Linked DNA regions of Mytilus edulis. The protein of the gene in region 1 purifies or fractionates together with the protein of each later gene. This does not show direct contact. Links are inferred from orthologs where the notes say so. Each region holds a gene or a part of one and is shown in the gene's direction. Other genes may lie near its edges. The genes, in order: serine/threonine-protein phosphatase 4 catalytic subunit, TIP41-like protein, T-complex protein 1 subunit eta-like and coiled-coil domain-containing protein 6-like.

Region 1 (8,735 bases):
ACAATATATATTACAATATATATTAGTAGTAGTATATATACTCAAATATACAAATGGTAATAAATGGCAATATTTGATATAGCCAGTTTTGTTAAAGGAAAACAAAATTATTTGACTTGCATATAATTTTTAAGAAAATTATTATAACTATATTTCTTGAATAATTCCACATTTCGACATTTTTTTATTTCGAGTGGTAAATTAATTGTTCCATACTTTGGTTGCGGAATAATGAAAAGATTTTTTATAAAAATTTGTATTTGGTCTTGGAACAAAAAGATCACTATAAGATTTATGTTTCATGATGATAAAATTTGTAATTTTAATGCCAAAATCTGCCATGAAGTATTTTTTAGGAGAAAGTGTACATATAATGTTGTTTGTTTTCTTTTGTGTAATTGTTTTTAATAGTATGGTGTTTAGTGCTAAGATATACTGATATATATGTTATATAGATATAATATAAATGTATTTTAATCTGTGTTTTTAGTCTCTCTCATAACTCTTTGTAGAGTGGCTCTTTTATAAATTGATATTGTGTTTTATATCATTTTTTTTTCTGAAATATATATCGCACTTGAAAAAATCAACACCAGGCATTATGCATTATTGTGAAACGGGTAGATACCCACTTGTGACACCAGCATTAAATGCCGAACTATTTCGTTCTGGTGCAAACTATGTTCAGACGAAAACAAACTGTCTTCATTAATCTACAAGACTGCATATTATCAACACAGTGTAAACAATTAAAGCATCAAATTGATTAAATATGTTCAAGATATTGTAATCATGAACGGATTTGCAAATATTTTTTCACCTACAAAATGGACATTTCTCAAAGTGGCTTAATTAGAGCATCAAAATGAGGCTAATCGACCAATACAAACAGACATGGTATTCTTCAATACAAAACTCACCAAAATGTATTAACTATATAGACTGTCCAAAAAAACATTGGAGTTTGAGAACTACCTGAATATTCTTGAAGTCAAACATTTGTTTACATTATGTAAATCCAGAGCAGGTAACCATGCGTTACCTATAGAAAAGGGAAGACGACAAAACATTGCCCGATTAAAATGAAAGGACATGCTCGTTGTGTACTTCCAGTGAGAAAGGCGACGAATTTCATTATTTGTTTTGCTGTTCGCATTTGAAGAACGAAAGACAATTATTTCTACAAACTAAATTTTCAAATAGCCCAAATATAATTTCATTTTTCTCACTATTTAATCGTAAAAAACAATCTGTCTTAAGAAAACTGTGTTTATTTATTTAAGAAATAATTCATGGGGGCTTGAATATATCGTGATTTTACCACGGGTTGGCCCTTTATGACAAATATTTTACCCCTGAGCGATAGCGAAGGGTAAAATATCGGCATAAAGGGACAACCCGTGGTAAAATCTAGATATATTCAAGCCCCCATGAATTATTTCGATTCTGATAGGACACATACGGCAATTCTTTTCGGGATCGAAGCGCTCTAGGTGTAGGCAAATATTTGCCGTTCCCATAAATAAACGCACTAATAAACTAGCGTAAAAGAACGGAGCAAACTGCATTAGTGACATGCTTAATTATATTGTATGTTTCTCTGTAAACTTGTATTTTAAATTAGTTTTTAGAGAATAAAGTATCTATCTATCTTTAAAGAGCTCGCTGTGAGACTCAAAAAAATAATAATTGTTGTTGTTGTTGTTAATTTCGTCTCTTGACAATTATACCAAATTTTTGTTTGTATGTACATTTGTGTTGAATTTAATCTGGGACTATTATACGTTATACTAGTAATTCCAGATGTAATCATTGATTTAATCCATACTTGAATTTATCCGGGATGTAACGGACATTCTATCAACTTGAAGTTGAATCGGACAAAGAGATTATTGCAACCTTGCCTTTGTTAAAAAATCTTTTATTTTCGTGAATTTTATTCATAGATTGTTTTTTGTATTTTTTTGGAAATTAAAAAGATAAAGAAGAATGTATTTCCAATTTAAACATGTTAAAGGATCCACTTGGGTGGGGTTTAACTAAAACACGTACAAACTACCATGTAAATTGAAAGTATTGCTAAGTATCCCATGTCTTCTCATTTTTATATGGCATGGTTAGCATATATGTAAAGGGCATATGATAGAGTGACAGAACTTGCGGAAATGTAAGCCTATGGTTACAACATTCACTTACAACATTCATAAAAATAAATAAAATTGAGAAAGGAAATGGTGAATATGTCAAAGCGACAACCACCCGACCATAGAGCAAACAACAGCCGAAGGCAACCAATGGGTCTTCAATGTAGCGAGAATTCCCGCACCCGTAGGTGTCCTTCAGCTGGCCCCTAAAATATGCATAATAGTACAGTGATAATGGACGTCATACTAAACTCCGAATTATACACAAGAAACTAAAATTTAAAATCATACAAGACTAACAAAGGCCATACATTTGTGTTAAGAACTTATGGGATGACATAATGCATTGTACAAATAAAGTATATATGTAACTAAAGTATATGGAGGGGTATACGTGTTTTTGAGCACTCAATGAATCTATCTGACCTCAGTCAAAATGATTTAATGCAACAAAAGAACAAAATGGAAAACAATCTGTTGCAGACGGCTTCATTCTACAGCTCGATACGATGCATAAATAGAAAGTGACACAAATACAGTAGACACCGGTAACTGCTGACTAGACTAAATACATATAGATGAAATAGCGGCGAAAAAAAGAGTGACGATTTAAGCAACTGCATCCTCTCAAAAAAACATTTCTTTTGAACAATCGGGGTTTTTTTAATTAGCAAACGCATTTCAAGATACTATATGTGCCGTAAAATCCCATTGATTCGAACCGACTTACACTGTAGATTGTTGTCCCGCTAAGTGTGGACTCGGAAAGCACACGATTATCATACGCACACTCGGAAAGCATACTTTAAATACGAAATCTCAATAAATTTACTCATGCCGTTTAATTCTCTTTAAATAAAGATCAAAGGCGAATTTAAAAAAGACATGCCATTCTTGAATATTGTCATCATGGTCATTGAGACCGTGAGTAAAAGAAAAGTAAAACTTATAAGTCGACAACGAATTTTTTTTACACTGCCATGGAAAAAACGAGGGGGTTGGGACAACAGTACACAAAACACAATATAGAAAAGTAAAGACTGGGCAATGCAATCCCCAAAATTACCGAGGGAAAGGTGGGACCGGATCTCTGGTGCTCCGGAGGCATAAGCAGAATTGCCTCCACACATGCAGTCACCCGTCGTGTTAAAATTGAGTCCAACTATAAGAATAGAAAGAAAACTGTGAAAGAATAAAGGATTTTGTAATAAAAAAAATGAAATACATACAGAATAAAGAAGTCATGACTTAACAAACAAATCCAACAGTAACATGATGTGCAGGATCATTCTTTCAAGAATAAGCGTGGTGTTTAAAGATAAATAAAATGCCTCAAAAAGTTAAAATATACAGAAGGTATTCGTCTTTGTTTATGTTGTACTTTCACGAAAGTTTGTTTTGCCATTTACTCAAACCAAATTAAACATGTTAATTAGGAACTGAATGCCTTTTATATAGTTATATTGAGTGCTAAAGCGTTTGCCAAAGCACAAATATATGTTTGTTCAAAAACGCCAGATTGTTTATAGTTATTAAACTGAATAAAATTTAAAAATGTTTGCTAATGGATTTAAGAAAAAGAAAAAAAAAACAATTAATAGATATATATACAAACATTTTCAGAGTTTCGGATGATTAACACATTTTGTTCTATAACCTATAACATAAAATCAAACAGACCTAGAAAAATCCAATTACCGTGTTCGCTATATTCATGGACCCATTGGTGGAATTTGCCTGTTGTCTGCTCTATGGTGGGATTGTTGTCTCTTTGACACATTCCCCATTTTCATTCTCAATTTTATTATTAATATTACGGTTATATTGGGTTATATGACTGACGTCCGTCGGCAGTCTTCGGAGGTACATTGTTTATTTTAACTTGACTTTTTACAATTGTGATAAACGTTGTAATATTTTATAATTAACATATGAAAATTTGTGTCAAACCGGTGATCTTAATAAATCTGACAGCCAATGCCTCTGTAAATGTCTGTTGATAAGGCTAGCAAAGCTATATTTTGTATTAGAAAACTATTATTTTCTGAAAAGATGAATTTAGTACCACATTTAAAGCTTTTTGATTCATGCATTAAACCTATTCTGTTATATATCAGTGAAGTTTGGGCTACTATTAGTTTAGTGAAACAAAATACTACCATCGAGTCAAACTATGCAAACTTCAGTCCAAATAAAATTAAAATAAAATTTGCTAAATTTTTATTGGGTGTAAATAAAGGTGCTGTTAATAATGCTGTACTTTCTGAATTAGGTTTATTCCCACTTTCATTGTCAGCCCTTAAAAATACAATTAACTTCTGGCTTCATATCATTATTATGGACAGTGAGAGTATGGTAAAGAAAGCATACAATGAAAACTTAAACTTTCCTAATGGTTTTTGTAGTAAATTAAAAGTGTTATTAGGTAAACTTGGTTTTCAGCATGTCTGGGAAAATCAAAATACTATGTCAATGAAAAAATTACACTTTTCCTTTCAAAAGAAATTAGAAGAGGAATTCAGAAAATACTGGAAACAAGCTCTTTTTTGTGACTCTAATAATGGTAATAGTCATGGTAATAAACTAAGAATATATCGCAAAGTTAAAAATAATTTTGATTTAGAAAAATATCTTCTACTGGACCTTAACAAAAGTGTTATTTCTAAAATGAAACTAAACTTATCTTGTTCACACATATTTATAAAAGATGGAACTATATCACTTAAAAGATAAGTTTAGTTTCATTTTGAAAAGTAATGATACGGACATTAATTAGTACTGTAAGTGTAGCTGGAATATTAAGTGATATACATGTATGATTTGAACATTCATTTAAACATGTTAAAGCAAATATAATGTTGTTAAGAGCTTTTAAAGTATTAAAGCTGATTGTAATAGCTTGAATTAATAATATTGTATGAATAACACCTCCACGCAATGTAAATATAAAATATATATCTCTTATCATGATCATTGAGAAAATCTTCTTCTTCTTGCGAATACGGGAGTAGCCTTTTGACTCCTAGGTAGGTGTGTAAAACTTCCCCGAAAATATGTTTGGTTGGGTTTTTTTTGTTTGTTTGTTTGTTTGTTTGTTTGTTTGTTTGTTTGTTTGTTTATTTTTGTATTTGTATTTTGTAAATGTCGGCTGGTATCATTTCTGTATAGGAATTTACACCAATAACATTATTTGATTTGATTTTAACAAGGATTTGTATAGTACGACTATACAAATCCTTGATTTTAAACATGTAAAATGATATGTGTTCGTTCTTGTACTCTATTTGCAATAAGTAAAAGATGGTGATTAGTAGTACCATTATATATTTTGATTAAAAAAATATAAAATAAAGAAATTGTATTTGAAAATCAGGACAAAATTTTAAATCTTTTAAGGAATACAAATTATATAAAAGATTTAAAAATTATAAATTTGATAAAAATTAAAAGAGTCTCGCACATTTGTTATTTCGTTAGTGACGCAAGAAGTGACCGGAAGAGACAAGTTTTTGTTGAAGAAGCAAACCAGGTACACATTTTTAGGGTTAATCTTGTCCCCATTGTCCATTTTTCTGCATGTTTATCGATGCTAGTAATAAAATTGTGAGTCAAGTTATGTTTTCTTTATATTCAGTGAATTCTTGAACATATTGTCCATGTTGGGATAAAAAGAAAATAGTGAACGACAAAAAATTTCATGAAAAAGATGAACGTAAAAAAAGTTTACTTTCAACTTTAGAAAACCTTACAAATGGTAGATTGGAATATGTTTAAGATTTTATATTGAAAAATGTAGCATTGTCAGTCTCAAAATAAAGAAGGCCAATCAAAACGAATTACAGTGTATCCCAAACTCGAATACTCTTCCCCTGTCTGGGATCCGTATGAAAAGGAATCCGGGTCAGTTCGCGCTCATTCACGTTCGCTCCCACTCATGTTCGCCCCCTTCCACTTTCGCACTCTACATGTTCGCACCCAAAGTCTGTTCGCATCCTACATGTTCACGCCAAATTTTAATTGGTTTTGTATTTAATCAAGTTTTGGCAAGTGTATTCTTATATTTGTTGTCATTGTCTCAAAATAAAGTGAGACAGCATTTTTTTTTGCGTTGAATAAATTTTAATCACAGTTTTGGATAGTGTATTGTTAAAAAAAAAAATCCTTTCTAAATTAAGTGGTATTCTGTCAACGTTTTATTTTGTGTTGAATAACTCTTAATCATGTTTTGGTAAGTGTGTTGCTATAACTTTGTTTCATTGACTTGTTTCAAAATAAAGTGAGATTCTGACCGTTTTTTTGTGTGTGTTGAATAAATTCTATCATGATTTGGTTATAATTTATAATAGAGTTGTGTATTGCTATATTTTATTGTTTTAGATCAAAGGGACCAAGCTGTTAAAAACAATTATCTTGTGTGTTTTTCATTTAAAATCTTGAATGTTTTACTTAATTACACCAAAGCAATTTATAACAACAATCAGGATTTTCCAATTATTCAACTGGAATTTGAATTAAAATTGAGTGCGAACGGACCTTGGGTGTGAACGTGCGAAGTGCGAAAGTATTGGACGCGAACGAACCTGATACCACAAAAAGCAACATATCACTCAGGTTGAGCAGGTACAGCATAAGGCAGCCAGGTTTGTCTTTAACGATTATAAAGACAGATCACCTGGAGCAGTTTCCAACTTACTTAAATCTTTAGAATGACTTTGATATTTTTGAACTGACTAAAATTAGCAATTTTTTTAAATTCATCAAGAGTTTGCAGGAGTGTTTGGACCCTGGTAATTATTAATAAGTTAATAATCTATTTTAAATATTCAATCACAATCCAAATTCAGCTGTTTTAAATTTTTAATGTTGTGTCCATACTAGCTCAACTGTTCAGGGTTCAACCTCTGCTGTCACTTAACAACCTCTTGTAAATGCATTAAACCGTTCACTTCTGAATTAATGAACATGATGAACATGTGTTCTAAGCTTACAGTTGAAATGACCCTTACATACTATAAAAAGTGTTTACATGACATACTTTAAACCAAAAAGTTTGAAGTGAGAAGACCAATGCAGAAAATGAATTTCTCAATAGTTTTCTCTCTCTTATTTTTTCAGATAAACACAGAAGCATGAGTGAAATAAGTGATTTAGACAGGTACATATTTTTTTTAACTGGTATACATTTATTTTCGTAATCTGTTCTTGTAATGTATAAATTAATGTCTATTTAAATTAGAAACACACTTTGTTGAGTTTTAGAAATAAGAAGATGTGGTATGAGTGCCAATGAGACAACTCTCCATCCAAGTCACAATTTATGAAAAGTAAATAAAGGTCAAAATACAGCCTTCAATACAGAGTCTTGACCCACACTGAACAGGAAGCTATAAAGGGTCTTTAAGTCACTAATCAGTAATGTAAAACAATTCAAACAGCCTTTAAAGGGAAAACTGGCAATGTCTAATCTTAAAAGAAAGGAGAATCACTTATGAACCACATCAACAAACAAAAAGCTCTGAACAACACTATGTTACAGATTCCTGACGTAGGACAGGTGCAAGCAAATGCAGCTGGTTTAAGGTGGTACCCAACACCTTAACTAAAGTTAATTTGACTCGTTTAATTTTCATAAAATTTGACAAAGTATTTACTTTGACACTTTGACAAAAGAAAAATTACACTGGTTATATAGCAGTTTGACAAACACTTATTTTGATCATCGAGCAGCTTAATATTCCCTAAACAACACAACGTAATTAAAACGTTTAGCTGATTTTACAGAGTTATCTCCCTGTAGTGTAAGGTACCACCTTAAAAGTTTTAAGGCAATTTTCATCAAGTTCTAACGAAGTAACAAACTTATTTTGTTGAAACTAAAAATTATATGATGTACTCGCGGAAGTGATTAATAGTCTGAAATAACATGCAACTAACTTAAGTCAACGTTTGTCGCACTTTGATCAGCAAAACACCCTATACCTCAACCTGTTCTCAATCCAGATAACTCTAAAGGGCACATGGCGGCAAATTTTTAGAAGAAAGAGGTCAGCAAAAAATATGTGGCGTCATGCCATGCTAAATTGCTTTAGATAAGAACACTACAATGTAATACCCTGTATATTATTTCATAATGATGTCAATAAACTATAAAGTTAACATCTGTACTTATTGTTATTTTTCTGTAGACAAATAGAGCAACTGAGAAGATGTGAAATAATTAAAGAGAGTGAAGTGAAAGCATTATGTGCCAAAGCCAGAGAGATTTTAGTAGAAGAAAGTAATGTACAGCGTGTAGATTCTCCTGTAACAGTAAGTTATCTCCTTTAAAGATTGTTAAAAAATCCATTAACAATTTTATAAACTTAATAAGTGTTCAATATTTAACTGAAGCTTAAAATGTGGAGGAGAAATTTAGTACAAAAAACAACCACTTTTCCCTGCTGTTTGCTAATGCCCAACATCACTATACTATACATAAAAAAAGGTGTGGTATGAATGCCAATTAATTAAGACAACTCTCCACAAATTAACAGCTATAGCATAGATGCCAACTATTACGATTTTTTCTGTAGTTTTTCCGATTTTGCGATA
Region 2 (7,804 bases), on another chromosome or scaffold:
TTGTTTCCGCTAACTCTGTTACAATTCTAGCGGGAATTTTGTATGTGCTTAATTAAAGTAAGTCATGCTGTAAACAATGCGTGGCAGTTTTAGACAGATAAAATCAGGACAAAGAATAAGTGGTCATCCAAAGTTCTCTTTTTTAAAGCTCAGTCTTTTGCCTTAAAAGGTGCTGTTTGACACTCAAAACCAATCGGCATTAATGCTTAAAACGTTAAGTAAAAAATAATGTACTCGGCTCTTATTGACATTTGATATGAATCGAATGCGCTCAGTCCCAATAAAAGGAGCACATTACTTCGAGCTGCCGTTTCCGTAAATCGGCCACAGTGCTCAACGTTGCGACACATGCATGAACATATATAATCAACGGAAATTAAAAATAGATGATTTTTTATTTCATATCCGTGGCACATTTCTTTGAAGAAGAAGACAAAACTAATGATCGTTCTCCAAGCTGAAGATCGAATTACATTTAAATATCATAACATTAAATCAAGTTGTATGTGCATCACCAAAATATGAACGAATTATAGAAGGTGTTGATAGGGTTTACAGAATAGAGAAAAAGGGTAAAACATAAAAGAAAAGAGAAAAATGGACCAAAACAAATAAGGAATAGAGACTCAGAATAATGAGGTGCTAAACTATAAAGAATAGATAATGATGGGCAAAACGTATTAAAAAATGGTATACAAAAGTAAATCACAAGTTACAAACACTGGCACAGCTTAATCTTATCAAGAATATATCTTGTTCAAATTGACAGTAATTTCGACTGAGATGAAAACTTTGTCTTATGAATATTGTAATTACAGTGAGTTGACTGTTAGTGTTGCTCTCCACCAATTGCAACTCATTCAAAATTTTGACCCAATTGCAATATGTTTTATTAAACCAAATTGTTCAACTGGTCAGAATATTGAACAAATTGTTCATTCAATATGTGATAGTGCAAAGAGATAAAATAAAATATACTTACAATCCTATAACTCCATGCACTTTAATGATGTTGCGACAAAATTTGTTTATCAGTTTGTAGAGTTATATTATAGTCATTTCCATGCTGAAGAGGAACTGTTTATTTTGAACTGCATGCTATAAAATTGTCCAAACTAAGCTTTCATGTAGTTTTTCTTTCTAAAAGTATTCTATATTTATAAGAATCAGATATCATTTTAAATAAAACATCATATATTCAGTAAAATATGTGTGAAATAACAATATGCTATTGATAAGTTTTCAGGGGAGATAACCTAAATATTATTCTTTTGAATAAAGCCTTTTTGAAAGAAAAGTTATTATCTCCCCCATGGAAACTTCCTACAAACATATATTGCAATTTTACACATATTTTACTGAATATGAAAATTTTTAATTCACATAATGTCTGATTCTTATAAATATAGAATACTTTTAGAAAGAAAAACTATATGAAAGCTTAGTTTGGACAATTTAATAGCAATTCAAAATAAAAAGTTCGGAACTTCCCCTTCAGCATGGAAATGACTTTAATATAACTCTACAAACTGATGTTCATATGATGAAATCATAATCTTTCAGTCAGTTTAATTGAAGTCTGGAGCTGGCATGTCAGTTAACTGCTAGTAGTCTGACTTTATTTATGTATTATTGTCATTTTGTTTATTTTCTTAAGTTACATCTTCTGACATCAGACTCGGACTTCTCTTGAACTGAATTTTAATGTGCGTATTGTTATGCGTTTACTTTTCTACATTGGTTAGAGGTATAGTGCGAGGTTGAGATCTCACAAACATGTTTAACCCCGCCGCATTTTTGCGCCTGTCCCAAGTCAGGAGCCTCTGGCCTTTGTTAGTCTTGTATTATTTTAATTTTAGTTTCTTGTGTACAATTTGGAAATTAGTATGGCGTTCATTATCACTGGACTAGTATATATTTGTTTAGGTGCCAGCTGAAGGACGCCTCCGGGTGCGGGAATTTCTCGCTACATTGAAGACCTGTTGGTGACCCTCTGCTGTTGTTTTTTATTTGGTCGGGTTGTTGTCTCTTTGACACATTCCCCATTTCCATTCTCAATTTTATGATAAACTAATTCTGTCACAACATCATTAAAGTGGAGTTAAAGTCTTATAGGATTGTAAGTATGTTTTATTTTATCACCTTGCACTTTCATGACTTGGCTGTGGTTTTCTACAGCAATTGGTTCAAATTTCTGACCAGTTGAACAATTTGATTTTATAAAACAAATTGCAATTTGGTCAAAATTTTGAATGAGTTGCAATTGGTGGAGAGCAACACTAACAGTCAACTCACTGTAATGACATTGTGGTTAATATAATGTAATGTTATGCGACTGTCATAAAAGTGAGAGGTTTAGCTAGCTGTAAATCCAGGTTTAATGCATACTTTTTTACATAAGGAAATGTCTGTACAAAGTCAGGAATATATGACAGTTGATTTCCATTCGTTAGATGTGTTTTGGGCTTTTTGGTTTTCCCATTTGATATGGGATTTTCCGTTTTGAATTTTCCTTGGAGTTCGGAATTATTTTTTTATTTGGCTTTTTCCAACCGTGAATTATTCAGGTTGACACTGGAAAGTGGCAGTATACATATGTATATGGAAAGCTAAGATGAATACAATTTGTTTGGGTTTTGCCGTTATTTACTTAAACCTAGTCCCCAATTAAAGAGAGGTGGAAGATATCAAAGACTGATATTCAAACTCATATATCGATGACAAACTGACAACTCCATGGCAAAAAAAAAGGATCAACAACAATCAAAATACAAACAACAGTATTCAAAATACACAGCAATACTAGAAAAGACTGGGCAACACGATCCCCACTCAAAATCATTGGTGATCTCAGTTACTGTAAGTATATACTGTAAAAAGACAAGAACAACTCTCCATCAAAGCCTAGTCACAATTTGTAAACAGTTAACTGTTATGGTCCAAGTATGGCCTTCAACACGAAGCTGTGGCTCACACCAAACAGCAAGCTATAAAGGGTCCCATCCCAAAATGACTAGTGTAAAACAATTCAAGAAGGAAAACCAGCAGTCTAATCTTTATAAAAAAAATACTTGTGAACCACAACAACAAACGACAACCAATGAACAACAGATTCCTGACTTAGGACAGGTGCAAACAAATGCAGCGGGTTTAAATGTTTTAATGGTACCAAAACTTCACCCTTATTTTAAACAATAGTGTAACATCACAACATAGAAAGACTCACTATAGAATATCAATTGAAATGGCTTAACGCAATCAAAAAGCATATTAACAAAAACAGTTACATGTGAACATACACTGAACGGACAATGTATAATACAAAATCAATAAAATAGAAAAATACTGGTCCAAATATTTTTGACTTCTAGGAAGGCTATTTTAAATCATTGCTTTGACGCCTTCCAGGGACGTGTCAAAGAAAATAATATAATAGGCTTTCAAGACGTCATAATTATTTGGACTAGAAAAATACCACACTCCCTCCTGCCCTTTGAAATTCATAATCATTCCCTAAGCATTTTCCCTCTGAACTTTTTATTATTTTTTACTTTAGACAAAAATTATATATATACATTCGTCCTGAACATGCATGAAATATTTGCAACTGGACTTTTAGCAACCAATAAACAATCAGTGAGGCCCCTCATGGGGGGGTCCTAGTAATCACATAATCACCATTTTTTTGCCAATATAATCACATAATCATTAAATATTTGCTTATCTTTAGTAATCAAATAATCATAAACTAAAAATACAGTCCTAGGTAATCAAATAATCATGAAATATTTGGCTTAATAATCAAATAATCTTTAAAAAAACGGCCAAGTAATCACATAATCAAAAACCCCATGAGGGCCCTCATCAGTTTTTTGGAAATAGTGTTGGTATCAAAGCTGGCATTTAAGGTAGCGCCTTCTTTATATTACATAATCAATAAAATAAGGGGTGAGATGTTAAACAAGAAAGATAACCATAATATTGGACTACATGCCACTAAATAAAATAACGTATACTCGTAAATAAAATTATATATTTTGTTGTAACTTGAGTCATGGAGTACTGACTTGAATATTTTTACAATTTAAGTCTTTTTTAATTTTGTAATCCGCTACAATTTAAACAAGGCATTCTGAATGAATCAATCTACAAAGTGAAAACACTTCCCAACTTTCATGATATTCCTTAAGCAAAGAGACGGCTAGTTTTTTTAGAAAAGCTACTACTTGTTTAAATTACAGGCAATTCGTTTTGCACATTATTCCGCAAAAGATGTCGCAAAACTCTTGTTAACTTTTTTTATTCCTTTATATCTAGTATTAATTGATATGAATATGAAATTTTAAAATTCTGATCGAATTAATATTATTAATCTGGTATACTACAGTGATGGAACTTAAACTTAAACAATAAAAACAAAACGACATTTACAGAAACCAGTTTATGGCAAACATGTAAAAAAAGTTATTTTTTTGATGATCAGGTACACACTGTCATACAATCTTGACAAATTCATGTCAAGAATCTTAAGTTTATTTAAACACTGCCATATTTTTTTGTCAAAGTGTGTTGGTGATATTGATAAAAATGAATATCAGCTTCTCTGGGTCGAAAGCTCAACCATATATATCACAAAAATGACAAGGTTTTAAAAAAAAAAAAAAAAAGACTTCTTTTTAAATTTTATAGCAATACACTTATTAAAGCATGATTGAAATTTTATTCAACACAAATCCTTTAAAAAAAGCTTTAAAAAAGGGTTTAAACCTACCCAGGGGTGTGAACCTGAAAGGTGGCGAACAAACATTTTATCACTATTTGGAATTTTGTCCTGCTGACCTGAGAATCTGTCCCGCTTGAACTTTTGACGTCATACAACAATCACTTTTCCATTGTGGCATCGGATATTTTCTATTATGACGTATAAAATTTACGGGAACTTTCATGACTTTATTGATATCCAGTAATGGCGGACAACTCGTGATAATGTGTATAGAACATGTGTAGAAACAGACGTGTCAGATTTGGGTCAAACAGACCCGGATTTCAGGCAAATAAATTTTAGCAGCAGCCTTGTGTTAGATCTTTTGTAGTGGTTTATGTGAAAGAAGATCTCCATTTTCCATAACATAAGATGAATATTTTGTTTTCTTATTTTGAAAAGCTAGGTTATAATTTTCTTAGATGCATATATTTTTCAGGATGATGGGAGGTGACAGTACTGCAGCTAAAGCTAGATCTGTTACAGAGAAATTCCAGTTTGGACCATGGCGTTGTACGTCTATAAAGTCACACATTCTGAAATCGGAAGGTCCAGATAGAGAGAGGTAATGTCTAATGATGAGAAGATGATTACAATTTACACAAACCTGCAGTACACACCAAAAAAGTTGAGCCATTCACTGTGAAAAGTTAACTCACCATAACATAGAATGTTTGAGCTGACATGACATTAAACAGCTCAATCAATCAGTGTGTAACAGGAGGAATGCTGCCAAATTTGGATTGATTATTGGTCTTCAACATCACTTTCTATCTTTGCCATTTTTTTTATTAGTGAGGAAGTCAGAGTACCCGAAGAGAACTACCAGACTTTGTCAGGAAAACTGACTATCCTAGTCAATTAAGATTGAAGACCAATGCATATTGTCATGAGCCTTAAAAGCTGAAAAAATTGTTATATTACACTCATATTGATTTTCCTGAGGTTGATATACTGTATTATTGGAAATTCAACTCGCAAACAAAAAAAACTACAAAAGTAATAGCAATTAGAAATTCACTTTTTAACATTTTGTACCTTAAAACAGTTGGAAGGAATTTTGTAAAATGAGCAACAAACAGATACCAACTGCTATCTATTTTATATTTTATTATTAAAATTAAGTAGACCAGGATACATGTATAAGTTAACAATAGAAAGGTTCAGATCAACACAATTTGATCAAGAGTTACTGCCCTTTAGTTGCCATGGTGGAGGACTAAGTCCTTCATAAATCAGCCAAATTCAACATGTCATACCGACTGCTAGACTGTTAAACAATTTTGATTTATTTTGGCCTTTCTTGATTCATATAAGATCCATCTTTTGTCAGACCTGTTTGTACTGCATATTTCAATTTGGATATTAAGTCAAATATAAAAATCATCTATATTGACCCCTTCAAAATGGCAAGAAAATTAACTCTATAACAAATTACATCAATTGAAAGGTAAAGTAAAGACTGAAAAGCGGGAAAGGGGGTTAAAAACCATTCTGATCCCAATTTGAAAAAAAAAATTGTGGTCATGCAGATGACAAACCAATACTTTATAGTGTTAAATTTTGAACCAAAATGATTTAATGGATAGCTTTGAAAAATAAAAAAAAAAGGCAATTCTGACTCAGACAAAAAAATAATGAAGTTAAATGGTTGCTCCAGTCCCTAACTCTATTCAATGTGTTCAAACTAACTCATTTATAGATTTAAATTTTGGGTGAATATCTTTAATGTCATTTTAGATTCGAGAGTCAATTGGAACTTCCACAGGTTCCTGAGATGGTGTTTGCTGATAACTTACTACGTTTAGAACATTCAGCAGGATTTGGTTTGGAGTTCAATGCTCTTGATGCTCTTAGATTGGTGGACCCTCGAAACGATTTACTCAAAGTGGCTGTATCTGATGCTTGGAGACAGGCTAGGTTTGTTATTGTTAAGTTTGTCTCTGCTTTGAGAGAAAAGTGGTTACTAGATCATCTTCATTTACAGGTTAACTGACCAATCACAGTTTCAATCAAAAAAACAAAACAAAACACAGAATTATCTGAAAAATAAAGATGAATGGCATAACAAGTTTGGTAAAGTTATACATTTGTTATAATCAAAGGTGATCATGTAATGTGAGATTTGATTGCTATGAGAAATGTCTGATTCAAAAGAGTTTTGGCAACTAATAATATTTTGTCCAGCAAATAAAGAATGCATTGGGTCATGGCATATTCTTGGGAATAAATTAGGTGTTTTTTTTTTCTTTCAAATTGCACTTATTTTAATATTGCTTCCATAATAGCTCTTACATGACCCAGTATCAAAAGGCCCAATTACAGAGTAGCTAACATATATGAAATTGTATATGTCGTGTACAAGTTGCAATTTTGTACAGGTTATAACATGTACAAAAATATTGTACATGTTATAATTTGTACAATGCTAAAATACAAGTTATAACATGCACAAAATGACCCCGTACATGTTATAACATGTACAAAATATAGCTTAAAAATGGTTTTAACCTGTACAAAACTTTAAAAATAATAATAAAGCAGAATATACATGCATTATTGAAATTTATTAAATAATAAAGAACAATAATCAAAAGCAAAAGAAGGTGCATTATTTACAGCATGCATAAAATACTACATTTTCATGCATTTTAGAAACATTAAATTTTTTACTTGTTGTTAAAAGACAGACACATGTGACACCTTGAGTTGCTCAAAACATTCATTCTTCTACAATTACACCTACCATAATTACAACTGCCTTTCTTACACTGATAATGCACAAAAACTTGCCCTCCTCTCAATAATAACTTGTGCACTATCTCTCTCACACTCATATCACTCATTGGGACTTCAGACACATTTAAAGTTGCATTTGCCAAAAAATGGACCTAGCTTCTCTTTATTTGTCCAACTTAAGTTCCAAATTTATAGCCGCCATATTCATTCACTTTAATCACCACGCCTTCAATGTTTCTCTCATCTACCGTATACAGGGCCCCTATACATTGTAAATGGACGGAATATAACGTTATCACTTTG
Region 3 (8,047 bases), on another chromosome or scaffold:
TAAAATTGAGAATGGAAATGGGGAATGTGTCAAAGAGACAACAACCCGACCAAATAAAAAACAACAGCAGAGGGTCACCAACAGGTCTTCAATGTAGCGAGAAATTCCCGCACCCGGAGGTGTCCTTCAGCTGGCCCCTAAACAAATATATACTAGTCCAGTGATAATGAACGCCATACTAATTTCCAAATTGTACACGAGAAACTAAAATTAAAATAATACAAGATTAACAAAGGCCAGAGGCTCCTGACTTGGGACAGGCGCAAAAATGCAGCGGGGTTAAACATGTTTGTGAGATCTCAACCCTCCCCCTATACCTCTAACCAATGTAGAAAAGTAAACGTATAACAATACGCACATTAAAATTCAGTTCAAGAGAAGTCCGAGTCTGATGTCAGAAGATGTAACCAAAGAAAATAAACAAAATGACAATAATACATAAATAACAACAGACCACTAGCAGTTAACTGACATGCCAGCTCCAGACTTTAATTAAACTGACTGAAAGATTATGATTTCATCATATGAACATCAGGCACAATCCTTCCCGTTAGGGGTTTAGTATCATACCATCATAACATATATGAGAAGAACATAACCCGTGTCATGCCAACAACTGTTTTTAGAATAAATGTGTTTAGTTCCGATGCAAAGACCTTATCAGTGACTCAATATTAACGCCAACATATGCAATCTTTAATGACTTGACAACAGTATCGTAATTATATCCCTTCTTAATAAGTCTATTCAAAGGTTTTGTAAGTTTCTGAGGTGAATACTGACACCTTTGTGCTTTATAAAGAATATTACCATAAAAAATTGGATGTGAAATACCTGAACGTATTAGAAGTCTGCATGTTGAGCTATATTTACGAATGATGTCTTTATACCGATGATAAAATTTAGTAAATGTTTTGACTAGTTTGTGATATCGAAAACCCTGGTGTAATAATTTTTCAGTAATACATAAATTTCTCTCATTAAAATCTAAAACATTGTTACATACACGAGCGAATCGTACAAGTTGAGATATATAAACACCGTAAGATGGTGACAAGGGAACGTCACCATCTAAAAACGGATAATTAACGATAGGAAATGAAAAATCATCCCTTTTATCATAAATTTTAGTATTCAGCTTTCCATTAGTGATATAGATATCAAGATCGGGAAAAGGGCTGTGGTCATTGTTAGTATTAGCTTTATTTAAAGTTATATGAATATCAAGTAATAAAAAAATCCAGATTAAATAACTTGTCGATCGAGTGCCAACTCGATATGTTTGATAAGGCTATTGTTCCTATACTAACTTATGGGTGTGAGATATGGGGATTTGAAAATTTAGATATTCTTGAGAGAGTTCATTTGCGTTTTTGCAAACATATATTGAGGTTAAAAAATTCAACCCCCAATTTTATGGTCTATGGGGAATTGGGAAGATACCCGATTTCAGTTACCGTCAAGTCACGTATGATTAATTTCTGGTGTCGTTTACAAGAAGGGAAAGAGAGCAAACTATCATGTTTATTATATAAGCTGTTATATGTAAATCTCAATAACTATGGTTATGATAGTAAATGGATATTATATATAAAGAAAATTTTTGATGACTGTGGAATGTCAAATATATGGCAAAGTCACAACCTTTTTGAGAAACATTGGGTTGTATTGAGTGTTCAGCAAAGATTAAGAGATCAGTTCATTCAAGAATGGTCAACAGAAATGAACAATTCGCCCAAGGGGCTGTGTTATAGATTGTACAAAAATGTTTTTAAATTTGAACACTATTTATCAGTACTACCATTTAATTTATTAATAACCTTATGTAAATTTAGATGTGGGAATAACCGTTTTCCCATTGAGACGGGAAGGTGGCGCCACATCCCAAGATCTGAAAGATTGTGTCACCTTTGCGCCTCAGCTGACATTGGTGATGAATACCATTATATCATGTCATGTAATTATTTCAAAGATGAAAGATGCAAATACTTACCACAATATTGTAATAAAAATATAAATGTTATCAAATTCAAACAAGTATATTCAACCCAAAATATTGTTGAGCTTGAGAAACTTTGTAGATTTATTAAATCTATTTCTGTGAAAGTCTATCCTCCTGGTTAATACAACCAGAGACATATATACACATGTGTATATATGTCTCTGATACAACTATGTGTTTATTTATCATTTGTGTAAATATTTATCATATTAATTTGTATTTCACACATGCTATATCTTATATATGTAATATATATTATTGTAATATCTTCTCTGTAACTATGTATTTGGTTTATGAGAATAAAGATCATTCATTCATTCAGCACAATCTCTCCGGTTAGGGGTTAAGTGTCATACCATGATAAAAAAAATATGAGAAGTCAGGACTGTTATTCAGTCAGGGCCGTAACTAGCCCCTTTAAATAGTGAGGCAAAATATAAATCGAAAAATTTTGGGCGAGCGGTCTAGGGGCTGCTTAAGGCCCCCAGAGGCTCTGAGAAAAATAACGCAAAATCGTGCATTCTGAGCGTTTCCCAGACTCTTTCTTGCTTTAAAACGGCTTAATTAATTTTTAGATATTTTTTCGACAATGTGATTAGACTTTGGTGACTTTTTTATGAGGTCTTTTATGACTAGATTTAAATATAGTGACATTGCAGTATTATACTTTAAGTACTAGTACTGCTAAGTCCACACTAGGGACCATCTCCACCTTGTTTTACGATCTTTTACGGTATTAATGATTCTTTAAAAGTATTGTTGAAGACCATCCGGCAACTATCAAGATGAAGAGCTGGAACACAAACTTTGCGGACCATTGATCATTTGTATTTTTTCTATGCATTGACTTTGTGTGCGATTATGTCCCCATACTCCTTTATTATCTGCTAAAGGGTCTCAACACGACTTACCTTTCAATGTAAAAGGTCATATGGTCCGAGTACACAGTTATTTCGTAGTGCATTTCCTTTAGACAATAAATGGAAATAAAAAAAATCCCACCTGCACTTTCTCCATAATATTTTTACAGTGTGTTGTACTACTTTTGGGACAAATTATATCAAAATTATAGAAAACTTCATCAGCTCTAACTCAAAATATGGACAATTTTATGTGAAGGGGGGCTTGAAATCTTTTGACAGCTTCCGAAATGCTAATTTTTGACCCTTTTCAACTGGACCAAATCACTACTTTACATTATAATTCATGAATCAAATTTTTTTACAGTGTAATTTTATCCCCCTTCTTGCTACTTGAGGCATAAAACATAAAAAAATAAATTTGGAAGGGGTATAAAAAAAATTGACAAGTAACACACTGTCCACAGTAGGGACTATATACGATAACTGTGTACTCGGACCATATATGGCAATACCTTGTTTTTTTTCTTCAAATTATTTGATACCGGGAAATATGTGACCTTACTTTAATTCAAACCATGTCAGCTATCTAGTTTTATTTACAAAAACAAAAAAAAACTGTTTTGTATTCTTTGATATCAATTTCAATTATCCATGCAGAAAGGACAATTCCACTGAGTAGCATCGCATATTCTTAAAATATATTTCTCGCACAATTCTGGACATCGGTGGACATGCAACATTGCAAAACCACGTTTACAAATGAAAATCAAAGCTCAGACTATAGTCATGACGTAGGACAATAAATGAACAAAAGACAAACCCGGAACACAGAGACCACCAACTTTGAAAACTAAAAGGAACATAGAAACATGGATAACGAAAAACATCCAGGGGATACACCAGAGAGTGAAGAGAACTTGCTTCTTGCAAGACACTTTCCGTGAAAATAATTTGATATGAAAACAACCTTTTGTTTCATTTTTTTATTTTTTATTTTTACATGAGGCATTTGCCTCATTTGCCTCAATATAGTTACGGCCCTGTCAGTGGTTAATTGTCGTTTGTTTATGTGTTACATATTCATTTTTCGTTCATTTTTTGTACATAAATTATGCTGTTTGTTTCCTCGTTTGAATTGTTTTACATTGTCATTTCGGGGCCTTTTATAGCCGACTATGCGGTATGGGCTTTGCTCATTGTTGGCCGTACGGTGACCTACACTAGTATAGCTGTTAATTTCTGTGTCATTTGGTCTCTTGTGGAGAGTTGTGTCATTTGCAATCATTTACCACATCTTCTTTTCTTTTATATTATCATATATGATCATATATATAACCTGTATCATTCCAACAACTGGTTTAGAATAAATGTGTTTATTTCCGATGCAAAGACAATGTTATCTCTTTACTTTCTCTCCCTGAAAAAAAAATCATGATTTATTCCTTTTTTGATAAATTTCTTGAAACTTGAAACTTTTTTTATTCCACAAAAGGCCTCACATGATGATGAGGCATAATAGTACAAACAATAATATTGCAAGGTATAACAACTTGAAATAAAATGCATGAACAAAATTTTCAAATCCGCGGGGAAAATTGGTTATCTACCCTTACATGCATTCTTCATTAAAGACAACAAAATGGTAGGTTCCCGTTTTGAAAGCCTGTTTAGAATCGACAACCATCTACCGATTTAAATGGTTTAAAAACATTTCATTGCTTTTTGGGTGATTTATAAGTTTCTCTTAAATTATTTTGTGGCCAAAAATATTCGGTTTGTTATTTGATTTGATAAAAAATGCCCATGTTTAATGCATGTATACACATGTATCCCCTTTAGAACATTTAGAACATTCCTGAACAATCATGTTTTCTCTTTATTTTTACAAGAGATGAAATAAATAGTTTTCATGCAAATTAAAGATTAAAAAGTCATAGAATTGCGATTTTTTGTTTCGATTGACAATTCTTTGTTGCCATTGATTTTAAGAAAACAAAATTACATTTGTTTTGGTCTTGGGTTTACAAGGGTTGCCTTGACGTTTCGAAGCTTGCCCTAGTAAATGTATACTCTATGGCTATGCCTTATAATAATGATTGAGATATTGATTGTTATTTGTTATGAATGATCATAGCTTAGTTCATTTTAAAAAAAAACTTTCTGCAGCTGGAAACGTTTTAAATCCTAGCATCCCTAAATTTGATTGCATCAAGTGTTTTAGAATTCTTTTGAGGTCACCAAAGGCCTTTATTTTAACTGTGAATTTTCTAGAATGAAAATGTGTACTTTCTTTGTAATCTTCTATGTTTCGCATCTATATAGAATTTTATATATGCCTGGTTTATCATGTTTATTGTATATAATCTTATATAATCCCACTGTTTGTCGTCTCTCACTTCTTCTGACCTTTTGTATAGGTTTGTGTTGATTAATTTATTAATCACATATTTGGTTTGTTGAAATTTAAATAAAGAAAAAAGTACAGATGTACTGTTTGTTTCTCATTGTTGAAGGCTGTACAGTTGCCTACTATTGCCTACATCCACTTTATTTGAACTTTGGTGGATTGTTGTCTCATTGACAATCATACCACACGTCCTTATTTTTATAACATTTTTAAAAGGTAAATTGGTTTCCTTTATTGTTTTGTGAATTATTTTGACGAAAAGATATTAATAAATATTGTCATAATCAATGGTATTCATATAGAGCATTTATTCTTTGTGTTAAAACATGTTGAAAGCTTGAAAAAATAAACAATAATGATCTTTTAAGCTTTCAAAATCAATCAAATCATGCACTATTCCAAATTTAAAGATCACTGTCAGAAATATTTTAAAATGATATATTATTGTTTTTGTAACTACACCAACGCTTCATTTTTAGTAACGTCAACAATCATGATTTACAAATACATAACAATAATACATGTACCATTATTAACTTTTTATATTTGATTATCTAATCACAAAAATATAATTTCATTTGAAAAATCCACCGATTTTTATTTGATATGATTTTTTATCCATTACTTTTTTAACATTTTTACTAACAATTCAAATTATTCAACCTGTATTTGAATAAAACCTTGGTTCAAAAGAAGGGAGACAATGAACTGACAACCAACTTTAGAAAAAAACTTTTTTTACAACAAATGTTAAAATTAACTGAAGTAATGTGTGATTTTATTGTATTGCAGCAGCCACAGATAATTCTTCTGAAAGAGGGTACAGACTCCTCACAAGGAGTACCTCAAATTGTTAGTAACATAAATGCTTGTCAGGCCATTGCTGATGCAGTACGTACCACACTTGGTCCACGGGGGATGGACAAACTCATTATCAATGATCAGGGTAAGAAAGAATTTAACATGACTAAGACCTGCTTCAGGTTAAAGATTTTAGTCCAGGTAGTTTTTGATGCAGTTGAGGTTGAAACAAACTTGAAACTTTATACACATATTCCCTATCATGTTGATATGATAATTCTAATTTTAATGTCAAATTAGAGTTTTTACCCTAATTTTAGGGTCCACTAAACATAATTGACAGTGCCTTTTGTCTTTTTGTCATTTTTCATGGTGATTACTTTGCCACAGCATTGCCAGTGATGTGGACTTGTAAGTTTTAATGTCCGTTTGGTATCTTTTACATCTCTTTAGTTAAAAAAAATATGCAAACACATTTTGTTAAATTGCAGTTAGACAATACTGAAGTTGTATCTTAATTGTACATGTATGTAGATTTTTTGTCACATTTAATGGAAACAAATTATGTAGAGACTTTATAAATTATAGGTAAAGCTACTATATCAAATGATGGAGCTACAATTCTGAAGACATTAGATATTGTGCACCCAGCAGCCAAGACATTGGTAGACATAGCTAAATCACAGGATGCAGAGGTTAGTTTATACATTTCTCATTGTTAAAGGCTGTTACAGTTGCCTATTACATGTACATTTACTTCATTTTAACTTCATTGGATAGTTGTCTCATTGGCTGTCATACCACATCTCTGCATTTATATCATACAGGTATGTAGAAAATTCTTTAAAGGTTAAAATTTACAGGAAATATCTTAAATAATCTCAATAACTTTTTTGCCTATCTAGAATATATATATGCATTGATAAAAGGTTTTTGTTTACACCAGTTGAGACTTATAATTGTATTTATGCTTTTCTAATTATTAAAAGGTGGGTAGTAAAATATGGTTAAACTATATTTTTTCTTCCAGGTTGAATCTGAACATTACAAATTTGTAATATCTATTTAGATACCTCCTTTGAATAATACGAAAATATTTAAGTTTTAAACTCCACTGATCATTCAGCAAAGCCAATTTTATATTTGGTCCTTGTGTCACAACTGTGGTAAAGTAATGACAATATCATCGATATCTGTCAGAGTTTTCGAGAGTTGTTGGAGGTATCTATGACCTCTTACATAGTTTGTAAAACCTACAATTTGTTGTAATATTCTTATCTTTTTAAAAAAGATGAAAAAAAGATATACAAGTTTTTCTGCATAGCATTTAATTATATTACAATAAAAATATTCCCTGTTTTACATTCATGTCCAATCTCTAATAGAAAAGGTGTTAAATAAAGATGGAAAGGGTCAGGCATTTTATGGTAAAGCAGTGATTTGGTCCAGTTGTAAAAAATCAAAAAATTAGTATGCCTGAAGATGTCAAACTGAATCAACAAAAAAGTACCCATATTTTGAGTTTAAGCTGATTATGTTTTCTATGATTTTGATATAATTTGTCCATATGTAGTACACTACATCATGTATGAACATTGAACAAAAATCATTTTGAGATTGAGCAGATGTGATTTACCAGGTAACTTGTATGTGTCATTGTCTTAACGAAATGCATTATTAATAACTGTTCTTTGGATGTCTATTTCTTTTTTACCAGGTTGAATATGAACATTACATATTTGGAATATCTTTTCACGTTACTTCCTATGAATTGAACAAATATTTGAGTTTTATCCTCCACAGATCATTCAGCAAAGCCAGTTGTATCTTTGGTCTTTGTGTCACAACTGTGGTAAAGTAATGACAATATCATCGATATCTGTCAGGGTTTTCGAGAGTTGTTGGAGGTATCTATGACCTCTTACATAGTTTGTAAAACCTACAATTAGTTGTAATGTTCAAATCCAGAGCTTT
Region 4 (8,621 bases), on another chromosome or scaffold:
CAGAAGTTTTCTTATTCCATGGAAAACAAATGTGAACCCACATGCAAATGTTGCATGGAAGTAATAGCTTGTCCACGGCACCCAATAATGACGATCGTAAATGTTAGGATCAGTGTCATGCCAGGTCCACCATAACGACTTTATACCCATGATGTCATAAGGCAGGTCTATCAATACAACTGATACACCAACTGCAATATAAAACAAAACAAAGTAAGAACACAGGGTATGAGAAATAAATGTGATTAATATTGTGTCAAATCTCTCATTAGAAAATCGATTATTTTATGATTATTACTGCTTACATCAAACATTATGACAGCATAGAGATGAGAGAAATCAAAGCATCTTTTGCTCTTCTAGCAGATTATGATACAAAAAAAATACTTTGTAAAAATAAAAAGTACTGGTAATAGAATCTGTCAATGTTATTCTAGTTTTAACAAACCTGCAAATGGTTCTCCCCACCAGGGTAACCTCATGTGTGACACTGCTACTGAGGCTGTATATATAAAGTAGGGATCTGAAATTAAGGGAAAGTACAGTAATGTATTACAATGAAACAAACAAATAATATTCAATCTCATCTCCCTTTTCAAGTTGTGATGCAAAGAAATTGTTTTTGTGAAGAATAATGACTGATTTACCTGAATTACTGGTACCGGTAGATAGTAGTCTGTTTATGTATCAATGCACTTCAGTCCTGACTTTGCTTGCAAAAAAAAACAAAACAAAAAACAACTTTTTAAAGACTACACTCCTCCTGAAATACATGACATAGTTTCAGTATAATCCATTTAGTTACTGTAAATCCACGTAGTATGCAGCTGTAAACTTTATAATGAAAGGACTGATAAAACATTGTTTTAAACCTGCAAAGAGTTGTAAGGAACCATGCCTCTCACCTTCCATTGCTGTCAGAGTGTCAGTTTTAAGGTGTAAAGGTGATTGCATTTTATATCAGAAAAATGAAAGAAGAAAAAAGAACACATAATTGCTGAGTGCTGTCTTGATAATTAAGATTATGACCAAAATAGTTTGGCAAAGTTATTTATATTTAAAAATCTTTTATAAAAATGAGACTGGTAAAAAAACAAACACATGAACATTTAGATTTTATTTCTGTTATTGAAAGTTATTTTAAACACTTACATATTAAAGCGATGTATAATGGAAGCCTGAGTCCGAGGAAGGTTACTACACCTTGGGCATGCCAGAAATTATCAATATCTGGTATGAAATAAGAAACACATTCCACTGTTATTCCATGGAAAAGAGTTGCCAGCCATAACCATCTAAATCGACCACCATTTCTTAAAGCTGAAATAATCAAAATAGAAAGTTATTTCTTATGAATCTGAATCATAATTTTAGAACAGATTAATACATTTTTAACATGTGATTTAACAAAATGTTCTTCAATCATACACAACATATGATCAACAGAAAGCAAACCAACAAATTCCGGTATATTTACTTGTAGTAATATAATTGAAGCACTTAAATGTAAATATGTTAATGAACAACAAATCTAAATATATGTTTAATTTACTATTGCCTTTTTCTAAACTCCGGTGATTTATATAGCTGCCTTCAAAGTGTGTCTTTCCTTGAAGAAAATATGGTTACCAGTAAAATAAAAATAAAAATATTTAAATGTTTTGGGGTTGCTATCTTACTAAATAACATTTACCAAACATATCTTTTAAAGGTTTTCAGTCGTATGTAGTGTACTACAACTTTTAAATTGTGACAGTACATATTTAATGTTAAATATAATTTCTACCCTTGCATCAATTGTAATAAGATAAATCTCCTCTCAAATTCCAAATAAGACACTTTCTCATTAAATGTTTGATCATCTCTCCAGAGACAGGAGAAACAATCACATCAAACAAGATACAATGGTGCATCTCTACAGAAACAGGAGAAACAATCACATCAAACAAGATACAATGGTGCATCTCTACAGAAACAGGAGAAACAATCACATCAAACAAGATACAATGGTGCATCTCTACAGAGACAGGAGAAACAATCACATCAAACAAGATACAATGGTGCATCTCTACAGAGACAGGAGAAACAATCACATCAAACAAGATACAATGGTGCATCTCTACAGAAACAGGAGAAACAATCACATCAAACAAGATACAATGGTACAATTTGTTTCTCTAATAATTATCTATGTAGTTCAGCTATATACCTATTTTTTAATGATTTGAATAGAGATCATGTTGATCCTACATGTATGTGATGTCATCTGGCATGGTTGCCTTTTTTGTGACATCCTTATAGCGAAAAAAAAATCAGGAGACAGCTAGAATATTGACTTCATAACAGAATATATACCAAATGAACATGATGAAGAACAGCGATCAAGAAATCCCATATTGATTAAAAAAGAAAATCAACCATCAAGGGAAAGTATAAACATAAAAAAGTAGAGAGGTATATTTATATATAAAGTCTTATAAGTTTTCATTTATAAACATGTTCATTTGTACAAATGTAAGCATTACTTCTGTAAACCAATCATATTTACACTTACCATGTATGAGGGTTAACAGAGTTCCTGTAAAACAAACTATTTCTACTCCAAGGAAAGAAGCATGTTTCTCTATGGTATCATATGGATTTCTGAACTGCACCCACCAATCAAATCCCTGAAAAAAATAGCTTCAACCTTAATTGGGTTACTTTTAAAGGTACATCTACAGCAAACTAGCTACTAAATCAAGTAATTGAAAACCTAGATCATAAGCAAATGGTCCAGCTCGCAATTATTCTTTTAAAGGATTTAAAGTATTCAATACTCTTTTAAAGGAATTTATTGATGCATCGCATATTGCTTACTGAGTACATGTAAGTCATAAAATTTTCTCTAAATGTGGTAAAATCGTCTTTGTTAAAGAACACAATGTATTTCCCTATCATTCCAGTATATTCTTTTTCCTAAAAGAGTTATTTTCCCTTAAATGGCTTAGTTAAAAAAAAATGATTCTAAAGCACAAATGTTTGGTATTTGTTTAAATATTTGGATTAATGCAATAAATCAGCAAGTTTTCTTCATATAAATAAACAGTCTTACCAATAAATCTCCACATATGTCTACAAATTTGCAGATTTGGGCAAATAACTAGACTGATTGTGTAATGCAATATTACAATCCAAGATGGCGGTATACCATGAATCTCCCTTAAGCAATTCAAGCAGTTGTTTAATCCACAGTTGGGTAAAAAAAGTAATTTAATCATTGTTTTACAGATTGGTTTTTTTTCTCTGCATTTCCTGTCTAGTTGTATGGAATAAAAAAACATTGACACCATTCTTATAGCCTATGTTTACCAGTTATGTGCAGTTGTCATGAAATAGAGGTTCCTTTATGTTAATTTGACACGAGTTCCAATACAACTTATTGCTATTTGTCTGCCATCTGAACATCACAAATGTTTGTTTAAATTTTGACATACACCAAAAAGGAAAAGTGATTGTTGCATGATGTATATAGTTCAAGTGGCACAGATTATCAGGTCAAGAGGTACAGACACCCAAATATCAATAAGGTCTGTAAGAACAAATATAATGTATGGCCCCATTGTTTGTAACAAAGTTTCCATTGGAACTTCTGTAACGTGCAACAAATATATATAGCTGCAGAACCCTAGCTCTAATGTCCTTTTGATATTTTTTGATAATTTTGACGCTGTAGTCTAGAGCTCTTTCATAAAATTTAAAAAGGACCATTCGAGTTACCGTTCTGCAGCTACACATAAGACTTATATATACTAATAAATTACCTCAGGTGCTGAATTAACCAGGTACTGATTTGACTAGTTGTTGAAATAGACTTTGTACGAAGGTCCTTATTAGGGTATCTCCATTACAAATAAATGTTAAAATTCTTGCAAAATGACATTATTGGGAATTTTTGGTGCAAGACAAAAAATATGTAAACTTTCTTTAAAGGGAAAAAAAATCAAACGTTTCTGAAGAATCACGTTAATCTTTTTCCAAAAAAACAAAAGAGGGGGTAGGAGGGGTCCTGATACCAATATGTGGGCTTAAAAAAATGAAATCCAGAATTTAAAGAAATTTAAAACCTGACATCCCGAAATTTGAAAAAAAGAATTAATGTACCAGATCCTGAAATCCCGAGCTGAAAAACACCTGATCTCGACGTCCCGAAAAAGGTCCTGCCCCCTTCTAGTAATGCTATTTACCTTTTTTAGCATCAAATTGGTTAAAACTTTACAGTGATTCATCAAAAAATCCTTATCAGAGGTCTCGAATAATTATTGCAAGCATTATTTTAGGGAATAAATACACCTTATCGCTGTTTGTCCACCATTACTGGATCACAGGTTCCCGAAAAATTTTGACGTCATAAAACAAAATATCTGACGCCACAATGGAAAAGTGATTGTTGTATGCGTCAAAAGTTTAAGCGGCCAGGTCGGCCGGCCGATAAGGTGTAATAATGACAATACACCTTATCGCTAATCCCGGCTGACCCGGCCGCTTGAACTTTTGACGCATACAACAATCACTTTTCCATTGTGGCGTCAGATATTTTGTATTGTGACTTCAAAATTTTACGGGAACCTGTGTGATATCCAGTAATGGCGGACAAATAGCGATAAGGTGTATGTGATGCGTAAAAATCAGTTGATATCCTTATTGTCAAAAAAAAAAGTGTACATTTTATCGTCATGCACCAAAAATTACCGTTACATCATTTGGAAGATTTGTTTACCGTTATTGCTCAAAAGGCAACCCAATTACTAGTACTACCCTACTATAAGTGGTGCCGATTTGACCAGATGCCGAATTGACTAGAATTTTAGAAATCCAAAATTTCTTTACTCGGTCTCTGGATCGGACATGTAGACTCATTTATAAATAAAACTACATTCAATACAACCAATTTTCATTTGTCTTTTGTCTCTCACCTTCAATTCTGACACATTAACGTGTTTTGCCATGCTAAGCAGGGGCCAGATCCACAATAATATCGGACGAGAATCGGCGCAAAGTTCGCAAAGTTCACTAATTAGTCCGACTTTTTACGAACATAGTTTTCGAATTAATTGTTTCTCTGATTAGCCAATACTTTTTTGAAATATCTGCAATATGTTCGTATTAATTTGATTGTCAAAATTTCACACATTTTCAGAGTATTTTGAATGTTAGATTTTTAAATTCGAAAATACAAATGATCACGTTTTGAAAGAAAACAACAAAAATGGCGGACAGTGCGAGCGAGCTCGAAAGTGATACGAGCTCTATTGATGGGGGCCCTACGCTTAAACCACCATCTCCAGCAACATTAGAACAGCTTCAGAAAAGAATCGAATCATTACAGCAAGAAAACAGAGTTTTAAAAATGGAGTTAGAAACATACAAACTGAAATGCAAGACGTTACAGGAGGACAAAAAAGAACTCCAGAAAGCCAGTGTCAACATTGTTAGCATATAAATTTTAAATGTTAATTTATTTGAAGAAATGCATTTTCGCCCCGTATATCTTTTGAAATGTTCGTAAAATGTCTAATTTTGATCAGGAGTTGAGTTGTCATTGTTGTATTTTGTCACTAACAGGACTTTCATGTCTCTTTGTCATTTCTAAATTTAAGATATGATTCATAGACTTTGGTACATGTATACAATGTTTTAGTTTGTTTGATAGGAACATCAGTAAAATAAGGCATGATTTTGAATTACTCTATTATTATGATTAAAATTCTGATTGATTCAAATCAAAATGTTTTATAAGATAATGTGGAAAACCTGGCAAATAAGGGATTGTTCCTCAAATGAGTTATCCGCTTTGGGATTCTGTGTTCACAGCAATTTTCTGATTTGGCAGCCCTCAAAATATCTATTCAAGCCCAGGCAAGTCTATTCTGGGGAAAAAATGCCAACCACCTATGAGAATGATGAGGCCCTCATGGGGTTGTCAAAGTAATCACATAATCATTTTTTTTACAAATAAAATCACATAATCATTAATTATATTTTAAACAACAAGCACTCACATAATCAAAATCTCCATGAGCATGATCTAGGAGGCTCACCTCCTCCAAACTTGTGTCCTTTACACATGTTATAAACAATACTTTAATATTAACATTTATACATACCTTTCCCCGAAAAATATATATACATCTTATTCTTTTTCTCATAAATTTTATCACATTTTTACAAGTTATTTAAAAAAAAAATCACATTTTTAAAGCTTTCTGTTACAGAAGGTTTGAATAGCAAGAGTGTCTTATTTTTAATTAATACACATTTGATAATTTCAATAGTCTTATATGATATATACATGTACATCTTGTTGAATGAATAGATCGGTCATTTTATAATAATACTGTTAAAATATTGTAGCAAGCCAGAGCTGAACAAGAGGAAGAATTCATTAGTAATACCTTACTAAAGAAGATACAATGTCTGAAAAAGGAAAAAGAGTCATTGGCTATGAATTATGAACAAGAAGAAGAATTTTTAACCAATGATTTGTCCAGAAAATTAACACAGGTAAAGTTTGATCATGTAAACTTAAATGAAAAAAAATAAACGATTAGGTGGTGTTACCTCTTACAATGTCTATCCAAATTATTTTGCAAAGAATTCTGCTCAAGCCCATGCTAGGGGCCGTCTTAAACTTGCAGTGAGGTGCAAGATTTTTTTTGCTCTCTGTTGTATACCTGATTGCTTTGAGGATGAAGAACAGCAATAAAAGCTTTGTCCCTTTGCTTTTTGTGGTTTTTTTTTTTGCTGTGCATGAACTGATTTTGTGTCATGGATGTGTATCCCATATCCTTTGTTTTTCTAGAAATATATTAAGAATTTAAATTTGATTTATTTTTGTACTAATGAAGTTCATACTTATTTTAAACATCTGATGTTTAATACCTCGGATTAGTAAATAAAATTGAAAAGAATACCATGCATGCAGTCGTAGAGTTCTGTCACAACATATAAAGAGTATTTTGACCCAGAGTTTAATGGCTTTTTAGGATGTTTGTTAATACATTGAAAATGTCCACCTAATTTTGTGCAGCCATTTGGTTAGTTTTTACAGTTTTGTGAAATTCATTCCTTTTTTATGAGCATTCTTGATGGAGGTATTGTTTTGTAAGTCAGAGATGGCTCTGATGTCTGATGGTCTTTTTGGGGAAAGTGGTAGGTCAAAGGGCAATCAAGACAGATTACATGAAAATTGTCTAACCAGAGCTGACAGTTTCTGTCCCAAATCCTAGATTCATTGTCAAGCTAATAAATTTCCTGCATCACCCAGATTACAATCAATGTTGCAATGTATATTGGTACATAAGCCTGGGAAATAACTGTTTAGCCTAAAGAATTATTGGATCAATTTATTCCAATCATACAATAGAGTTTTGGTATATTTTGGGCCATGCCATTTACCTTTCAAAATAAAGGACAAATTATTGTTTTTGTTATAAAAATTGTGTTATTAAATTCTTGAATAAATCTTATTTGATTTACAGCTTAGGAACGAAAAAGTTGAACTGGAGGAGACATTAGAAAAAGAACAAGAATATCAAGTTAACAAATTGATGAGGAAGATTGAAAAGTTAGAAAGAGAAACCTTGTCTAAACAAGTGACTCTTGAACAGGTACATAGTTGTGAACAGATTTTTTATTTTATAATGAAATTATTCCTGGTTTGTTATATTGTGTTATTAGTTCCCCTAATATGCCCAGCTGGGAAGTCTTGGTTTTCATTAAATACCTGTAATATTTTAAGTTGATTGGAAGACATTTAATGATCTCTTAAGCATACTTAGTACCATATTGATAGGACATGATTATTCACGCTACATTTATTTAACTGATTTGTTGAGTACTTGATGTAAACTTGACAGTACAATATACCATATCAATCATGTACACCGACTCCATCATAAAAATAGCAGACATATACATGACCAATAATTGCTAATATCATTGTTACAACAAATGTATTTGAACTCTGGTGGATAGCTGTCTCATTGTCAATCATACCACATCTTCTCATTTTAATATACAAACAAAGACAAAACAATAACTAACAATGCATGGTGTATTGTTAAACACCTTGATAATATGCAAATTAATTGGTGTTTGTGAAAAAAAGGAACTGAAAAGAAACTACGTAAAAAGGCTTTTATTGTTTGCACCCGCTTCTCCCCACAAAATATTAGGTAATAAAACTTTTTGTAACTGTTAGATAGGGTCTAATGAAACTCCGGTAATTTCAAATCCTGTGCGGTCGTTTGCAGTATTTTCTTTGAAAAACCTGTTTTCCATCATCAAACAGAAGCTGAAACTGCTTGTAAATGATTCTAGAACGCTGTTAAAATAAGTTTAATTCACTTAAAAAACAATTTAGAAACTTGTGTATGTTTAAACAGGAAAATTAAAAAGCATGTGTAAAAGAAGAAAATAATCAGTGAGAGTCGAAATCTGTACATAACAGATATCACTATAATACGACTTTGAATGTAAAACAGTTCTATTCTTTTGTAAAACAGTCTTTAATATATCTATCACATTAATGTTTGAAGGATCTTAAGCTTATACAAACCATATTAGTCAGTATGAAACAC

The links.
Region 2: the proteins of serine/threonine-protein phosphatase 4 catalytic subunit (region 1) and TIP41-like protein purify together in Homo sapiens (co-immunoprecipitation; 6 studies listed by BioGRID and IntAct, with this or other methods). This does not show direct contact. The link is inferred for Mytilus edulis from reciprocal best matches to the Homo sapiens genes PPP4C and TIPRL.
Region 3: the proteins of serine/threonine-protein phosphatase 4 catalytic subunit (region 1) and T-complex protein 1 subunit eta-like purify together in Homo sapiens (affinity purification with mass spectrometry; 4 studies listed by BioGRID and IntAct, with this or other methods). This does not show direct contact. The link is inferred for Mytilus edulis from reciprocal best matches to the Homo sapiens genes PPP4C and CCT7.
Region 4: the proteins of serine/threonine-protein phosphatase 4 catalytic subunit (region 1) and coiled-coil domain-containing protein 6-like purify together in Homo sapiens (affinity purification with mass spectrometry; 7 studies listed by BioGRID and IntAct, counting the BioPlex papers as one, with this or other methods). This does not show direct contact. The link is inferred for Mytilus edulis from reciprocal best matches to the Homo sapiens genes PPP4C and CCDC6.

Annotation. Positions count from the first base shown.
Region 1 is NC_092349.1:81,644,408-81,653,142, forward strand, and holds the start of serine/threonine-protein phosphatase 4 catalytic subunit, read left to right. Parts: upstream 1-5,593; 5' UTR 5,594-5,670; exon of another isoform or gene 5,671-5,673; intron 5,674-7,255; 5' UTR 7,256-7,273; coding exon 7,274-7,299; intron 7,300-8,329; coding exon 8,330-8,453; intron 8,454-8,735. UniProt on the Homo sapiens protein: Protein phosphatase that is involved in many processes such as microtubule organization at centrosomes, maturation of spliceosomal snRNPs, apoptosis, DNA repair, tumor necrosis factor (TNF)-alpha signaling, activation of c-Jun N-terminal kinase MAPK8, regulation of histone acetylation, DNA damage checkpoint signaling, NF-kappa-B activation and cell migration.
Region 2 is NC_092353.1:75,586,306-75,594,109, reverse strand, and holds the start of TIP41-like protein, read left to right. Parts: upstream 1-4,506; 5' UTR 4,507-4,514; coding exon 4,515-4,564; intron 4,565-5,201; coding exon 5,202-5,327; intron 5,328-6,502; coding exon 6,503-6,682; intron 6,683-7,804. UniProt on the Homo sapiens protein: May be a allosteric regulator of serine/threonine-protein phosphatase 2A (PP2A). Isoform 1 inhibits catalytic activity of the PP2A(D) core complex in vitro. The PP2A(C):TIPRL complex does not show phosphatase activity.
Region 3 is NC_092347.1:85,968,882-85,976,928, forward strand, and holds the start of T-complex protein 1 subunit eta-like, read left to right. Parts: upstream 1-4,415; 5' UTR 4,416-4,429; coding exon 4,430-4,507; exon of another isoform or gene 4,508-4,561; coding exon of another isoform or gene 4,562-4,564; exon of another isoform or gene 4,565-4,591; intron 4,592-6,064; coding exon 6,065-6,218; intron 6,219-6,661; coding exon 6,662-6,768; intron 6,769-8,047. UniProt on the Homo sapiens protein: Component of the chaperonin-containing T-complex (TRiC), a molecular chaperone complex that assists the folding of actin, tubulin and other proteins upon ATP hydrolysis.
Region 4 is NC_092352.1:18,225,641-18,234,261, reverse strand, and holds the start of coiled-coil domain-containing protein 6-like, read left to right. Parts: upstream 1-5,215; 5' UTR 5,216-5,248; coding exon 5,249-5,470; intron 5,471-6,393; coding exon 6,394-6,543; intron 6,544-7,520; coding exon 7,521-7,649; intron 7,650-8,621. Other genes in the region: uncharacterized protein, read right to left, coding at 1-191, 449-523, 1,153-1,320, 2,555-2,669, 4,956-4,988.